4 linked regions of the Oryctolagus cuniculus genome follow. The protein of the gene in region 4 interacts with the protein of the main gene of each other region in a pairwise test. Links are inferred from orthologs where the notes say so. Each region holds a gene or a part of one and is shown on either strand. Other genes may lie near its edges. The genes, in order: AP1S2, AP1B1, UBL7 and AP1G1.

Region 1 (3,562 bases), on a different chromosome or scaffold from region 4:
TACTTAAATAGCGTATTCCAAAACATGGACCTCATGTTAACAGTGTCTTCAATAAGTCCTTCAGTTAGAAGGTTTACTTTCTTCTCTATTTACTTGTACTTTGAATTAATCAACTTCAGAAAAGTCCAGGTCAACTGTGTTTTCAGATGTTCATAGGAAGGTGCTTAAAAGGAAGAACAAAATCAAAGACCATTTCTAGGTAGTATGATTGAGTGATTGTTTTTGCTCTTTTGCTTGACTATGCTTTTCAAAATTTTTCTTGCACATTTATTACATTTGCAGCCTAGGAAAAAAGAATCTATACTGTTGTGAAAGAAGAAATAAGCATGCTTATAGCATGGATTATTTCATGATAGGTTACAAAAATATATTTAGAAAACTTGATTACAAGTTAACTTTTTTTCCACATTTGTTTTTTGTTACAGATATGCAAGTCTGTATTTTTGCTGTGCCATTGAGGATCAGGACAATGAACTAATTACCCTGGAAATAATTCATCGTTATGTGGAATTACTTGACAAGTATTTTGGAAGTGTGAGTATATTTTATTTCAGGAAATTTAATGCCATAGTTCTTTTTTTAATTTTTAATCTCTTCTTTTTTAAAAAAAAAGATTTATTTATGTATGTGAAAGGCAGAGTTACAAAGAGGCAGAGAGAAAGAGAGATCTTCCGTCTGCTGGTTCACTCCCCAAATGGCTGCAATGGCTGGAGCCGGGCTGATCCGAAGTCAGGAACAGGAGCTTCTTCTGGGTTCCCCACGTGAGTGCACTGGCCCAAGGACTTGGGCTGTCTTCTGCTGCTTTCCCAGGCACACTAGCAGGGAGCTGAATTGGAAGTGGAGCTGAATCGGAACTAGGGCCCATGTGGGATGCTGGTGCTGCAGATGGTTTATCCCACTATGCCACAGTGCCAGCCCCTTAACCTTTTCTTTACAAGGTTTATTATTTGGTTGTCTTGGGCATTCTAAATGTATAATAAGGCAGGAATGATTCTATTTCTTGTCAGTGGGCCTAGTTGTTAACTTCTAAAATTACTGGTCCTACAGACTTACTCATTTTATTATGATGAAAAGTTTATAAAGTTGAAAATAGTAAAATAGAAAGGAGTCCAACTGCAAACATTAACATTCTGGAAGTACTCAGTATAGACTTTAGATTTGGTTAGCAGTTCAGATCACATTATCTAGGAATTAAAACCAGTCTTTATGAGTTGAAAGTTGTTGGTACCACATTGGGAACCTGCAGACCAGGTCTTATGTAGCATAGAGGCATTGTGCTTTCAAATACTTGAGATCTGAAAATTCAGCTTATCTTAAATCAGTGATATTAATATGACTGCCATTTTTTAGAAAGAATTAAAATTGATGCAGTGTTGTCAGATTTTCTTCACTGCCTGATGATATTGATTAAGAATCTGGCTTTGGGGCCAGTGTCGTAGTGTAATGGGTTAAGCTGATGCTGCCTGTGACGCTGACATCCCATTTGGGCACTGGTTCATATCCTGGCTGCTTCACTTATGATCCAGCTCCCTGCCAGTGTGCAGGGAAAGCAGCAGAGGATGGCCCAAGTGATTGGGCCATTGTACCCATGTGGAAGACCTGGAAGAAGCTCCTGTCTTTGACTCTGCCTAGCCCCAACCGTTGCTGCCATTATGGGGAGTGAACCAACAGATGGAAGATCTCTTTCTCTCTGTCACATCTCCCTCTCTGTAGCTCTGCCTTTCAAATAAACAGTAAGTTTTTTTTTAAAAGAATAGAAAGTCTAGCTTTCCTAATTTTTGACAGTGGGTCTTTGTGGGTTTTTTTGTTTGCTTGCTTGCTTTTCAGGTGTGTGAACTTGATATCATCTTTAATTTTGAGAAGGCTTACTTTATTTTGGATGAGTTTCTTTTGGGAGGAGAAGTTCAAGAAACATCCAAGAAAAATGTCCTTAAAGCAATTGAGCAGGCCGATCTACTGCAGGAGGTACGCTACTCCTTCTCTTGACTAAATGCTTGCATGTTTTGCTTCTGCTAGGGAAGTCTCAGTCATCATTGTTAAGTTTCAGAAATCACTCTGAAACATGCTTGGCATGTAGTGTCCTTGTGTGGTTTATTGCTTGGAATATGTGTCAGTCACATCAATTCAGTCATCTGTGGATGGATAGTTCACTTTGGAGATGGTCTATTGGTCAGACCTCTTCTTTATGGCCCATTTTGGACCCCAAAACACTAGAGTCTAATTTTGGAAGACAGACTACTTTAAGAAGGGGAAGGATTGGCCAAAATTAACAGTAAGTTAAGAACTCTCCATCCATTGTTTTGAATTACTTAAGACAATCCCCTTTTTCATTAGTGTGGATAATTAAGAGTTGACTGTGAGATTATGTTGTTCTTATTCCAAATTGGTTCATTTTTTCACCTCATGTCCATTAGGTACAAATGTAGCCAAGCAATTGTTTCTAATTATACTTTTTGTAGAACCTTCTAGTTTTGTGTTAGCCAAACTGACCAAAAGTATTTCTATTTCTTTTGCTCTTCTTAAAAAACAAGCCATGTTCTGTCAAAACTACCCCATTCTTGTCATACCTCTGTATCCCCAGAACTATAATAACCCCTTTCCCTTTCTATTTACCACAGTCATCCTGGGCTAATTGTATATTTGATGCTTATGTATCATCTATTTGTGAAGTTTAAAATTTCATAGATTAAGTCTGCCTTTCTCTAAAAACAATGTCACCATAATTTAAGCACTAAACTGAATTACGTTTTAGAGCTAATTGTGGTTTTGATCTTACAGAAATTTTATAGCATGAGGAGTTAGTAAACAGGAAAAAAATACAGTGTTTTCATTAGATAGTTAAGAGTGTGTGTATATTAAAGATCTTGAATGCCTTTGACATGGCTCATTTTCCAGAAACACTGAAGACATGGTTTTGTATTTCCAGTTTAACTCCCTCTTTTTTATTACATATTTATCAGTTTATTCTTGTCTTTTAAATTTTAAAGGAGACTTTTAAGTGCAATTTTTTTAGCATTTCTGTTTAACAGAAATGTCAGATGTTAGGGGGAACAAAATAGGAGAGAAGAGTGATTCTCTGTCTCAGTTCTAACATTAATTTTCTGCCTCTGTGAGGAGGAGGGAGCTACTTGGGAATCTCCCTGCCTCAGTCATCAACAGCAGCAGTTTTGTGGGAGTTGCTCAGAGTTGAGATGATATTGGGAATGTACAGCTACTAATGCGAGCAAACACATTGTGCATTTAATGGTCTTGTATTTACCAAATAGAATAGTTAATGTGCCTGCAAAAGTGGGGTATTTTATTGGCAGCTCTGGTACTATTTGCTATTCAATAGTGAAGTGAGCACAAGCTCTTTTCCTTGTGTGTAGTTTGCCATGGTGGTTTATTAATCACAAACCACGTCATTTTGGGGATTTTTGTTTTAACATCAGTTGTGCTGACTACAAGTTCACATTCTGTTGTAAAATTGTTCTTAAAGTTAGCACATCCTTATTTTGCTCTTCACTAATCAAATTTAAAAAAAATAGGTCAAAACCAGGATTAGGAATTGGAGGTCTTATTT
Region 2 (3,562 bases), on a different chromosome or scaffold from region 4:
AACACGGGGAAGTGCCCGGAGACAGGCTTCCCAGAGGAGGAGGCCCTTGAGACTCGAGTGACAAGGGCAGCCAAGCAGCAGAGGGCCTGCCACACGAGGGCTCCTCCTAGGTACTGTCCTTGCTCTGACCAGTTTCTGCGATTCTGGGCCAGCCCTGCCCCCTGCACAGTACAGGCTGTGACAGCTGGGGTGCCGCCGGGCACTTCGCTCTGTCCTTGGCTTGTGCGGAGACTGGCAGGGCACACTGTCTGGTCGTCTCCTCAGCCCACTTCCCCCATATCCTTTTCTGACCATTTTCCTCTCTGACCTCGACTCTCAGAGCAGCCCTTGAGCACGCCCAGCACCTTTGCAGCGCGAGCTGCTCAGTGCGAGGCCACGGGCTCATTCTCCTCCCCTGAGGTCAGTGGTCAACCCCTAGGAAGCAAAGCAGGGTGCTCAGTCTGGGAGGCCCCTCCAGGAGAGAAAGAAAAGGGACCCTGGGGTGGGCCCTTGTGTCTGGGCCAGGACCTGGCACATGCCAGCCACCCCCCTCCCCCTTCTTGCAGGTCTGGCTCCCGGCCATGAAGGCTAAGGGGCTGGAGATCTCGGGCACCTTCACACGCCAGGTGGGCGCCATCTCCATGGACCTGCAGCTCACCAACAAGGCCCTACAGGTCATGACCGACTTTGCAATCCAGTTCAACCGCAACAGGTAAGCTCCCGAGGCCAGCCACCTGCAGGCAGGGGCTGAGGGCCCCGGGGAGCTGGAGCGGGTGGCATTGCTCACCACCCTACAGGCCGGAACTCTCTTCCCTCCATGGCCACTTTCGTGGACTCTGCAGTCCCAGAAAGAGTGGGGAGAGTGTTTCCCCAGTGGCAGCCCAGGAGCTGGCCCTTGGCAAACACCCCACCTGTCAGGAGGGTCTGTCCCCCAGTGAGCCTGCCCCTGCAGGCAGGGCCTCAGGGGTGAGCCCTGCTCCAGGCCGTCAGCCCTGCCAGGTCCCCGCACAGCGAGTGACAGGAAGGCTACCTGTCTGTACCACCGTGGGTCAGGCCAGGGCTCTGGAGACCAAGCAGCCCCTCCTGATGATCCCTCTTCCTGAGCGGCTCCAGTGATGAGCAAACTGAGCCTCTAAGAAGTTGACTGAAGGGGCTGCTTCCTCGGGGAGCCGTGGCCAGGGACACCCCCACCCTCCGGCAGACAGGGAGGCTGGGGCAGCTCCTCCCCTTCCGCTCAACAGACCCTGTCGGCCACAGACATGCTCCAGGCTGGTCACTCAGAAAAACCTGCTGGCTGGAACACTGTGCCCAGGGCTCTGGGGGTATTGTCTCACTTGAAGCAGGTGACAGCCCGTCAAGTCAGGGCCATTACCTCTGGGCTCAGGGCAGGTAGGTTGCCCCAGGTCACGCAGCAGGCAGTGGCGGAGCTCCCAGGAAAGCCTGTAGTGCGGGGCCACTGCGCGGGCCTGGGTCGCCCGCTGCTTCTCCCGCTGTGTCCCAGGCAGGCAGCTCGAGCTCTGACTCAGCACTGTCACTCACCTGTAGAGCAGACGTGGACCTGGCCCTCCTTGAGGTACACCATCTTCACCTGGAAGATGAGGCGATGTGTGCCTGTCTCTGTTTCCTGAGCTTGGGAATTGGTATCAAGTCAAATGCCAGCCTGGGCGGATGGAGCCCCCAGTCCATGCTGTGTCTGACAAGGATCTGAGTCTCCCCATTTGCTTATGTGCTGCCGTAGAGAAGCAGGGCTTTCCTGAAACTGGCCATCATGTGACCTGGCCAGTGCTGCCCTAGACAGTAAATCCCAGTGCCCGATGGGGTTCACATCCTTCCTAGGGAGTGGGTGTGGGCAGCAGAGACTTGGGCAGCCACAGAGCTTTGCCACAGGCTGTTGGTAGGAGGAAGAGCTTGTGGAGGGAGGACAGGCAGGGCCTTGCTTGTCTGAGGCTGCCCAGTGCCCCCCAGGCCAGCGTCGGCCAGCGCTGGGCTGGGCTGGGCAGAGCCTGCAGCCTGGGGCCCTTTCCTCCTGTGCCACAGCCACTGAGGGGCCTGGGAGCTCGTGAGCCTGTCCTGCCCCAGGACTGCAGCTCGGCTGAGGCAGCTTGGGGAGGAGCCCACCTGTGCCCGGTCAGCACCTGCTGCCCAGCTGTGCCTGCGGGGGCTTCTCTCTCCCTAGCTTTGGCCTGGCCCCCGCCGCCCCCCTCCAGGTCCACGCACCACTGAGCCCCAACCAGACTGTGGAGATCTCGCTGCCTCTTAACACGGTGGGCTCGGTCATGAAGATGGAGCCCCTGAACAACCTCCAGGTGGGTCCCCCCCCCGCCGTGGCAAAGGGGCATGGGTGCCGGGAGGGACGTCCTGCCTGGGGCTGACGGGCGCCTCTGCCTAGGTGGCCGTGAAGAACAACATAGACGTCTTCTACTTCAGCACCTTGTACCCTCTGCACATCCTCTTTGTGGAGGACGGGAAAATGGGTGAGTCGTGAAGGCCCCAAGCAGGGGCCAGGGCTTAGGAACCTGGCCCAGCTGGCGCTTGCCCAAGGCCTGGATGGTTTCGCCTGCCCCTTGACTGGGTCCTTGCGAAGCCTGTCCCAAGGGGCATGCCTGGCCAGCAGGTGGGCTGTGCCACACAGGGTCATCTCACTTGCAGGCTCTCCTGCCTGCTCTCAGCCTTGTCCCAGGGGTGGCAGGGACCCCAGGTCATGTCCCGTGACTGGCACTCACTGCTTTTGTACCCAGAGGCCTTAGCCATGCCCTGGGCTGCCGGGATTGTCTCTCACTTGACCCAGGAGGAAGCCCCATGAGGCAGGTGTGACTGACAGGCTGCCCTGCCCGGGCAGGAGGCCGGCATGTGGTGGGGTGGAGGTGGGCGGCAGGAAGCCCAGGGTCCCTCGGGAGCAGCTCTCGGGCCTCCTCACAGAACTGAGGGTGTGCTCGGCTTGGGGCTGTGCGGGCGCTGGTGCCCGTCCTGAATTTCAGGCGGCACACTGGACACAGGCCCATGGCCTGTTCCAGGTGGTTGAGGGGCCACGGGTTTATGAGGGTCCCCCTCACCTTCCAGACCGGCAGATGTTCCTGGCCACATGGAAAGATATCCCCAATGAGAACGAAGCCCAGTTCCAGATCAGAGACTGCCCCCTCAATGCGGGTGAGAACCCCCCAGCCCGACCTTGAGCCCTGGCTGGGCCTTGGCTGGCCCTGGGCCACTGCCCTCTGACTGGGTCCTCTCGGGTCCTCCCGACCTCACAGAGGCCGTGAGCAGCAGGCTGCAGAGCAGCAACGTCTTCACCATCGCCAAGCGGAACGTGGAGGCCCAGGACATGCTCTACCAGTCCCTGAGGCTGACCAATGGCATCTGGGTGCTGGCCGAGCTGCGCATACAGCCCGGCAACCCCAACCTCACGGTGAGCGCCCCGTGCCTACCAGGCGCCCCAGCCGGGGGCGGCTCTGATGGGGATGCTGCGCCAGGGGTCCCCCTGAGCCTGCCGCGAGCAGGAAGGCACCTTTCTAGGGAGCTTCCAGCTCAGCCCTGCCAGGTCACCCACAAAAGCCTCCAAGTGGGTCTCGGGACAGACGGTTCTGCA
Region 3 (4,054 bases), on a different chromosome or scaffold from region 4:
CGGAGAACCTTACTTTGGTCGCACAGACAGCTGGGGAGTGATGTACACTTTAAAGGACACTCTTATTTAATAGATTTTTTAAAAAGTATTTCTTTTGGGGCCGGCACTGTGGCTCACTTGGTTAATCCTCCGCCTGCGGCGCTGGCATCCCATATGGGCGCCGGGTTCTAGTCCCGGTTGCTCCTCTTCCAGTCCAGCTCTCTGCTGTGGCCCAGGAAGGCAGTGGAGGATGGCCCAAGTGCTTGGGCCCTGCACCCGCATGGGAGACCAGGGGGAGGCACCCGACTCCTGGTTTCAGATCGGCGCAGCTCTGGCCATAGTGGCCATTTGGGGAGTGAACCAATGGAAGGAAGACCTTTCTCTCTGTCTCTCTCTCTCACTGTCTATAACTCTACCTGTCAAAAAAAAAAAAAAATTTCTTTCTTCAAAAGGCAGAGCCGGGTAGAGGGGGAGGCAGAGACAGAGGTCTTCCATCAGTTGGCTCACTCTCCACATGGCTGCAATGGCCGGGGATGGACCAGGCTGAAGCCGGGAGCCCGGAACTCCATCCGGGTCTCCCACGTGGGTGGTAAGGGCCCAAGTTCTTGAGCCATCATCTGCTGGCTTCCCAGGCGCATTAGCAGGGAGCTGGGTTGGAAGCAGCGCAACCAGGACTCAAACCGGCACCTGTATGGGATGCCGGCATCACGAGCGGCGGTATCACAATGCCGGCTTCAATCAATGGATTTTAACAATTGTTAGGACAAACTCATAAAATGGAGTTACACGGAAACTGGCACAGAAAAGCTTTCCAGCTTAACCCTGCGGACGCTGCGAGATTCAAATGAACGGGACAATGCAAGAACAAAAAAGACCTTCCAATCGATCGTCCCGAATGCTACCCGCTGAGCAGTCCTCCCCGGCCGACCCTCCCTCCCAGGTGTCTGCCCTTCGAGAGGCAGAGCTCAGTGAGGTCACAGGCGAGCAGCTGGTGGTGAAGCGGTCAGTACAACACGGACTGAGACGGCAACCAGCCGCTTTGTTGTAAGACACGTGTGTCTGGTCAGCCAACACGCACGTCCCTGGTGTACCAACACCTCCAGACAAATCCAAGCCCAGGACTCCAGAAGCGCCCTCCTCAGAGAGAGCCGAGAGCCGCCCAACCTCGACGCGGAGGCTCACCGATCAGCTCGGGGTCCGGGACAGACTCCTGGAGTTTGCCGGCAATCAGCTGCTTCAGGAAGGAGATACTGTAGCCCCCCAGCGAGTATTCCCCCAGTTCTGTCTCTGGCAACCGGAGAACAGACTTGGGGGCCAGGGGCTGGTCAGCCAGCCTCACTGCCAGGTGCCAGTCTGAGAGAGACATCCTCTCTCGTTCGCGCTCTCTCTTTCTCCCTGTGAAAGAACACAGCCTCAGTGGCCGGAGCTCAGGCCCCTCCCCACCACGCCCACCTGCCAAGGGGCTGACTGAGACAGGTGTCCTGAAGCCCGGGATGCAGCATCTGGGCCAGAACCAGCACTCATCCTGCGTCGGGCAGCAGGGGCCTGCAGCACCATCCAACCCCACAGGAATGTCCTGAGGCCCAAAGGAAACCACCCAGCCCCCTCTCGTCTACCCACTCACTCCCGGCTTCATAGCAAGTTCTCTGCCTGCTGCCTCTCACCAAACCTCCACGAGGCCACCCAACTCACCATCGTAAACCTGATTTATTTACATTTTATTTGCAAGGCACGGAAACAGACACCTGCCACTCTCCATTGCCCATCGGCCAGTGTCTGGGGGCCCCGAATTCAACCCACGTGTCCCAGGTGCATGGCCGAGGTCCAGCTCCTTGAGCCCTCACCTGCTGAAGTGCAGCAGGAGGAGCTGGGATTTGAACCCCCGCACTGCGACGTGGGAGGCGGCGCCCGGGCGGGGCCTTTAACCGCTGCCCCTCCCCCCGGGCCGGCCCCCCAGCGCTTTGACACGCAGGTGCGGTCCGGTCACTTCTCTGCTTATGACCGCTCCAGCGGCTCCACGCTCTGACCTGCACGGCCCGGCTTGAAGGTTCCGCCCCATCAGAGCTCCGCCCGGCCCCACCTCGCCGCCCACCGCCCACCGCCCAGGGCACAGGCCCGCTCACCCGTGTCCTCTTCCCTTTCTGGCCTCTTGGCACACTTCTAGCAAGACCGACCCACCTACAACCTCCTCCGTGTCCACGTCCCCTGCCCCCTGGAGGCAAAGGGGGCTACAGCTTCCCATCAGCGCCCCCGCCCCCGCCCCACACTGCCAAGAAGACCCTAAAATCTGCCGCCTTTAGGGTCTCCGTCCCTGGTACACACGGCCGGCCAGAAAATAAATCGGGAACCTCTGAGGGTGGGAGACTCGGGTCAGGCCCTTGTCACAGGCATCGCTACCGCCTCAAGCAGGCCTCTGGCAGCAGAGAGGACGGAAAAGGCCACGAGGCTGCACCCCCAAGGGACCTCCCACCCCAGGTTCAAGACAGGGAAGAGATGCGGGAAGGGGGCTTTTTATATGCACCGCGCTCACTGAAGCCGGACACGCGTTCCCGAGGCGGGCAGCACCATCCCTCCACTCGACGCCGCGATCGAGACCCGGTCACGATCACGGACAGGGACGGGTGGGGGCAGGGGCGCTGTCCCACGGCGACCCCAGCGCTCTCGCGCGGCCAGTTAACCAGTCGCCCCCCGTGCAGCCCGCGCGACCCGGGGCCCGGCGCCCTCACCCGTCCCGCGGAAGGAACCCGGCCGCAGGGCCGCCGGTGTAAACACTCACTCAGGCCCTCGCGCCGGAAACCGGAAGCGCCGCGCTGCATTGTGGGAGTTGCAGTCCCCGCCGTGGCCCCGCCCCGGGCGGGCTCGTGGCGGCGACGCTTCCGGTTCCGGGGAGGGCGCGGCTTCCGGGATGTTCGAACTGCCCCGCGGGAGCGCTGCGCCTCGCCTCTCTGTGGGCAGCGTCCCGCATCTTCCGCCCCCGCGAGTCGCGGGACAGGCATTTGTGGGTTTTTTCGTTTTTTTTTGTTTCAAAGACAGTGTCCAGCCCGGCGGTTCCCGCGCGCCGCTGAGGAGCGTGTGGGGTCCGGCGGTGGAGACGCCCGCCGCTGGGCCCTCGGCGGCCCCTGACCCGCGTCCCGCCGCGACCCCTCCTTCCCTTCGCTACGCCCGTCGCCGGTGGGCTCTCCGCCCACGCGTGGAGTCGGCCTCTTTTGCGCCCGCCGCCAGCGACTTACCCATGGGGGCGTCCCGGTGTGCGCCCGGCTTTGGTCCCGGAGGGGCTCCCGGGGCGCCCTCTGCCGCGGCGGGGTGCGGAGGGGGAGTTTGCACGAGTTTAGAGTTAGCTTCCGTGCTGGAGAGAGACTCCGGACCGGGCTCGGGGTGGGGTGGCCTGGAGCCCCGAGAGGAGCCGCCGCAGAAAGGGTGGATGTCCGGAGGTGGCGAGGTAGACGATGGCGGCCGCCGGGGCTGCTCCGCCGGCCACAGGATGACCGCCCCCCTGCGGGGCTCCCCCAGGGTCTGCCCTGGCTTCGGACGCCGGCCACAGGATGACCCCCGCCATGGGCTCCCCCAGGGTCTGCCCTGGCTTCGGACAGCGGCCACAGGATGACCCCCGCCCCTGATGGGCTTCCCCCAGGGTCTGCCCTGGCTTCGGACACCGGCCACAGGATGACCGCCCTCCTGCTGGGCTCCCCCAGGGTCTGCCCTGGCTTCGGACGGAAGCCCAGGCCCCTCATGGCTGTCCCCATAGGCGCCCCCTTAGCCCACCCTACCGGCCCGCCCTTAGCCACGCCACGTCTCAGGAGTCGCCCCAACCATCCCGCCCTATTTGGGGTCCTGTCTGCCTCGCTGACCACGCTGCCCGTCTTGTTATCAGACGTCCGTACTGTGCCTTGGCGCCTGCAGCAGGAGCCCGCGACCCTGTCTGACCGCGCTGGGAGCTTGTGAATATGTTCTTTAGAGTAGTTTTGGCCTCTCCGTGGGGGAATGGACTCTGTCCTGCCCTCCACCGGACTAGGGCCTGGCCCATAGTGGGTGCGCAGTAAGGAAGTGTTGGATGGATTCTTCGGGCCACAGCTAT
Region 4 (4,009 bases):
TTTCTTGAAGCTTAATTTAAATAAGAGTTTTATGGTTTTGATATCAACTAAGTCTGGCTGTATACATAAAATTCAAAAATCCTCATCAAATGCAAATAAGAGGATTAAGCACTGCAAAAATCTATTTTGGTATGTAGATGCCCAGTTCAATTTTTTAATTAAAAGTAATCCTTTGGAAAACACTCCTTCAACTTTTTTAACTTGTATAGTTTTCATAAATCACAAAAACTTGGTTTTGCATATCACTGAATTTTAAAACTCACTATTAAAATAAATACTGGGGGTGAAATATCACCAGGGCATTACTAACAATTTCTGTACTTCTCAATTTCACTCTACTAGTTGCCCCAAATCAGAAGCGCTGTCAGTCAGATCAAAGAGCAATCAACTGTTATCAAAAGAAAACTGAATGGAGGTTTCCTAAACACTATTAATTCAAGTGCAACTCCTAATAATCCTAAACAAAGCAGACATTCACATATGAGCTGATCAATCAATGGTGCAGTGAACAGCACTTTGCCAATAAAGTGTTAAGGCAAAAGGAACATTTTCTCAAGTGAATGCAAACCGTTTAAGATAAGCAGTGTTTACCTACCAGTACATTATACTATGAAATGAACTGAGTTCAGTTAACACCCACCTCTTAACTCTCCCAATATCGCTAGAAAATCTGTAACTCTGAAACACATTTCAGTAGTAACCACAAGGAAGTACTTAGTACATGAGTGAATATTCCATAAGTGTTCAGTGTCTGACAGTTCCTGTAAACCCAGAGAAAATTCCATAGATTCCAATTAATACAAACTCACAGAACTGCTGCCTGAGTAAGACTATTAACAAGAACAGAGCACATATGCTCAAAATATTTAGTTGTCGTATGACTGTACAGGAATTTATCTAGTCTAATTTCAATAACCTAGTAAGAATAATGCATCTGTGTGGTTTAGAAATAGTAAAAGACGTGGTTCGGTTCAAGTCATAAATTTAAATTTCAAGTCACTAGACTGCGACCTCAAATGCCTTATTCCTCTTTTGCAAAGGTAAAAACCCAGGGTGATTCAGTCACACTCACCTAACTTGAAATGTAGGAAATAATCAGTGAATTACTGTGAAACGCTTTTTGTTCAAGTATGCTAGGTCGCAAACATGCATTAAGAGTAAAACAAAAGTAGTAAGATCATGGACACCGGGAAGGTCCTTGTTTTTCAAACCAGAAGTCAAGGTATATATAGTCTGACAAGCATTGCAAAGAACAATAGAAATGAGTATTAAAAATCCAACTATTTCCAAAAAATCCGATACAGGAAGTATTTTCATAATCAGCACACGTCATGTCTGTAGGAACACCTGAAGAAAGCCCTCACTCCTCTCTGCCAACTAATCCCTCCGCCAGCCCAAAGAAGTTAACTCTCCTGCCGACCTAAGTCAGATTACCACTCTGCACAGATTCCCATGCTCAAGGGCAGACAGGATCACGGAAATCACAGGAAAGTCGGTAGCCACCCAAAGAGTAAGCGGCCAACACAGGAACAGAACCCACAAAGGAGAAAAACATGTGACAGCTCCCGCCCCCCAAAAGCCGTCTGATCTGCTGGATGCACGCGGGGCGCCGAGGCACGGCGAGCGAGCGGCTGCACGCATCTCCCACCCAGCCCAACATAACCAACCGCCCCGACTCTCCCAGACGATCAGGGCGATCATCAGAGGCTGACGTCCGCGGGGTCAGGAGTTCCGACAGAAGGGAGAGCGGAGCACTCGCGGGTGAGTTTTTAAAACATTGAAAAAAAAAATTTTTTTTTAAAGGGGGAAATTGGGGAGGAAGTTGGCTGGAAGATCAGCGCGAGGCGAGGCCAATGTCCGGTTCGGCGAGGACGGCGTTGCAAGGGCAGGCAGCGCTCCGCCGAGCCTCTGGAAAAGCTGAGTTCTCTCTGAGACCTGACCCGGGCAGGAGACGCGAGAACGCGGATAACGCGGCTCCGAGACGGCACGCGGGGGTGGGGCCCGCACCGCTCAACCCTGGGCTCGCTGAATGAGCCCGCAAAGCAAGAGCGCAGCCTGAGAAAGTCAATGGGTTCAAGGAGGCTCGCACCGGCCGGGCAACGCCACGGCACGGAAGGCCGCTGCCTCCCGCTCCGAGGCCTCGGGGTCAGCCCCTCAAGAAGTCGGAGCAGTCCCCGGGGCTCCGGGCCCCTCCTGGCCCAGCCTCCGTCCACCCCCCACCAGCCTGGCACCGGACCCCGGCACTGACAGGAAGCTTCCGGCCGTGCGCTCGCGGCAGCAGCAGGGCAAAAGCAGCAATATGCTCTCAGCGCCGCGAGTGACACTCACCGGCCCGAAACCTCGAATGAAACCAGCAGCTTCGGGGGCGGCGGCAGCAGTGGCAGCAGGAACCGAACATCCAAAATGGCGGCTCCCTCGGCCTCACCACCGCTACCGCAGGCGGAGGGATCCTCGGAAGGAAGGGAGTTTTTAACTAACTTCCCACGCTACCGCAGAAACTTCGGCCCCTTATGCCCCTCTCCTAGCCGATTCCGCGTCCCCTAACGGCAACTTCTCGTGCCTCCCTTCTCGGATTAGCCAAGAACTCGGACCCCGCCGAGGACTATTTGCCAAGGAGGAGGCGACTGCGCCTGGCAGAGCGACGCAGAGCGTAGCCGGAGTCGGGGCTGTCACTGATGACGCGAGACGCTGCTGCCGAGTCACCGCTGCGATGAGTCTGAGCGAGAAAGAGCCGGCCGGCCCCGCCGCCGACGGACATTGGTTCCGCTTCGCGGTGATGGTGGCGGCGGCGGCGGTGGGGTGCTGGGCTACCAGGAAGCAGTGGGGCCACCTGAAGGGGGTGGGGCTAGGGGAAGTGGCCGAGGAAGTGGGAGCGGCCAGGAGGCGGGGACCGCTGAGCCGGGCTGAGCTGGTCTTAATCACGAGGATCCCAGGCTCCTTCCTCTCACCTTTGAGACGTTGCCTGTCTCCTCAGGAACGTACTTCATTCATGTGGTCTAGACATCTATCATTTTATGGTATCTGTGCCACAAGTTTTGTGAAGAGGTAGAGGTTGACACCGAAGGATGGCTTCCACACAACTGCGTTATTGCGTCTTGCTCCTGCATTGGACGAGTGACTTGAACTCTCCGGGACCTGTTTCCTCATGTGTAAAAAGGGAAGATTTGGACTAATGAGAGCTAAACCCTTTCCAGAATGGGCTTTCCGTCTGACTTCGGGAATTCATGATTTGCGTCAAAAAAAATCCAACGGGACAGTTCTTGGCTTGATAAATAATTAGTATCAGCTGAAACCAGTCTTTTCCACGTGAATGTGCAAAGTGCCCTGATATCTTGGCCCATTTAAAGGACAGGTGACCTACCTGAACTAAAATCCTCTGGTTATAGCCAGGCGTTGTGGGGTAGCGAGTTAAACTCTGGCTCGGGACACCCGGATCCTCTATCAGCGTCCCCGGGTTCAAGTCTCAGCATCTTCGGATCCAGCGCCCTGCTAATACAACCTGGGAGGCAGCAGCGGATGGCTCAAATGTTTGGGCCCTTGCCAGCTACCTGAAAAACCCAGATGCAGTCCCCGGCTCCATGCTTTTGCTTGGCCCAGCCCATGCTGTAGCTGACATTTGGGAAGTGAACAGGAAGATCTGAAGATAACTCTCTCGCTCTTCTCTCTCTAGCTCTCCTCCCCTCTTCTCTCTTCTCCTCTCTTCTCTCCTCCCTTTCCCCCTCCCCCTGCCCCTCTGACAAGTAGATGAAAGTAAAATGTATTTTTAAAACATTTGTTTGAAAATCAGAGTTACACAGAGAGAGAAGGAGAGGCAGAGAGAGAGAGGGGTCTTCCACCTGATGGTTCACTCCCCAGTTGGCCGCAATGGCTGGAGCTGCGCTGATCCGAAGCCAGGAGCCTGGAGCTTCTTCTGGGTCTCCAGAGGGTGCAGCAGCCCAAGGACTTGGGCCATCTTCTGCTTTCCCAGGCCATAACAGAGAGCTGGATTGGAAGTGGAGCAGGACTCGAA

Evidence for each region.
Region 1: the proteins of AP1G1 (region 4) and AP1S2 interact in binary tests that used the Homo sapiens proteins (3 or more experiments, as listed by UniProt). The link is inferred for Oryctolagus cuniculus from reciprocal best matches to the Homo sapiens genes AP1G1 and AP1S2.
Region 2: the proteins of AP1G1 (region 4) and AP1B1 interact in a two-hybrid assay, tested with the Homo sapiens proteins (2 studies listed by BioGRID, with this or other methods). The link is inferred for Oryctolagus cuniculus from reciprocal best matches to the Homo sapiens genes AP1G1 and AP1B1.
Region 3: the proteins of AP1G1 (region 4) and UBL7 interact in binary tests that used the Homo sapiens proteins (3 or more experiments, as listed by UniProt). The two-hybrid records come from large-scale screens. The link is inferred for Oryctolagus cuniculus from reciprocal best matches to the Homo sapiens genes AP1G1 and UBL7.

The regions. Positions count from the first base shown.
Region 1 is NC_091453.1:1,986,674-1,990,235, reverse strand, and holds part of AP1S2 (AP-1 complex subunit sigma-2), read left to right. Parts: intron 1-425; coding exon 426-534; intron 535-1,827; coding exon 1,828-1,965; intron 1,966-3,562. UniProt on the Homo sapiens protein: Subunit of clathrin-associated adaptor protein complex 1 that plays a role in protein sorting in the late-Golgi/trans-Golgi network (TGN) and/or endosomes.
Region 2 is NC_091452.1:22,748,401-22,751,962, reverse strand, and holds part of AP1B1 (AP-1 complex subunit beta-1), read left to right. Parts: intron 1-545; coding exon 546-691; intron 692-1,045; exon of another isoform or gene 1,046-1,142; intron 1,143-2,155; coding exon 2,156-2,285; intron 2,286-2,368; coding exon 2,369-2,453; intron 2,454-3,039; coding exon 3,040-3,126; intron 3,127-3,227; coding exon 3,228-3,382; intron 3,383-3,562. UniProt on the Homo sapiens protein: Subunit of clathrin-associated adaptor protein complex 1 that plays a role in protein sorting in the late-Golgi/trans-Golgi network (TGN) and/or endosomes.
Region 3 is NC_091443.1:109,217,445-109,221,498, reverse strand, and holds the start of UBL7 (ubiquitin-like protein 7), read right to left. Parts: upstream 2,838-4,054; 5' UTR 2,796-2,837; coding exon 2,756-2,795; exon of another isoform or gene 2,501-2,755; intron 1,375-2,500; coding exon 1,162-1,374; intron 1-1,161.
Region 4 is NC_091449.1:55,426,356-55,430,364, reverse strand, and holds the start of AP1G1 (AP-1 complex subunit gamma-1), read right to left. Parts: upstream 2,835-4,009; 5' UTR 2,329-2,834; intron 1-2,328. UniProt on the Homo sapiens protein: Subunit of clathrin-associated adaptor protein complex 1 that plays a role in protein sorting in the late-Golgi/trans-Golgi network (TGN) and/or endosomes.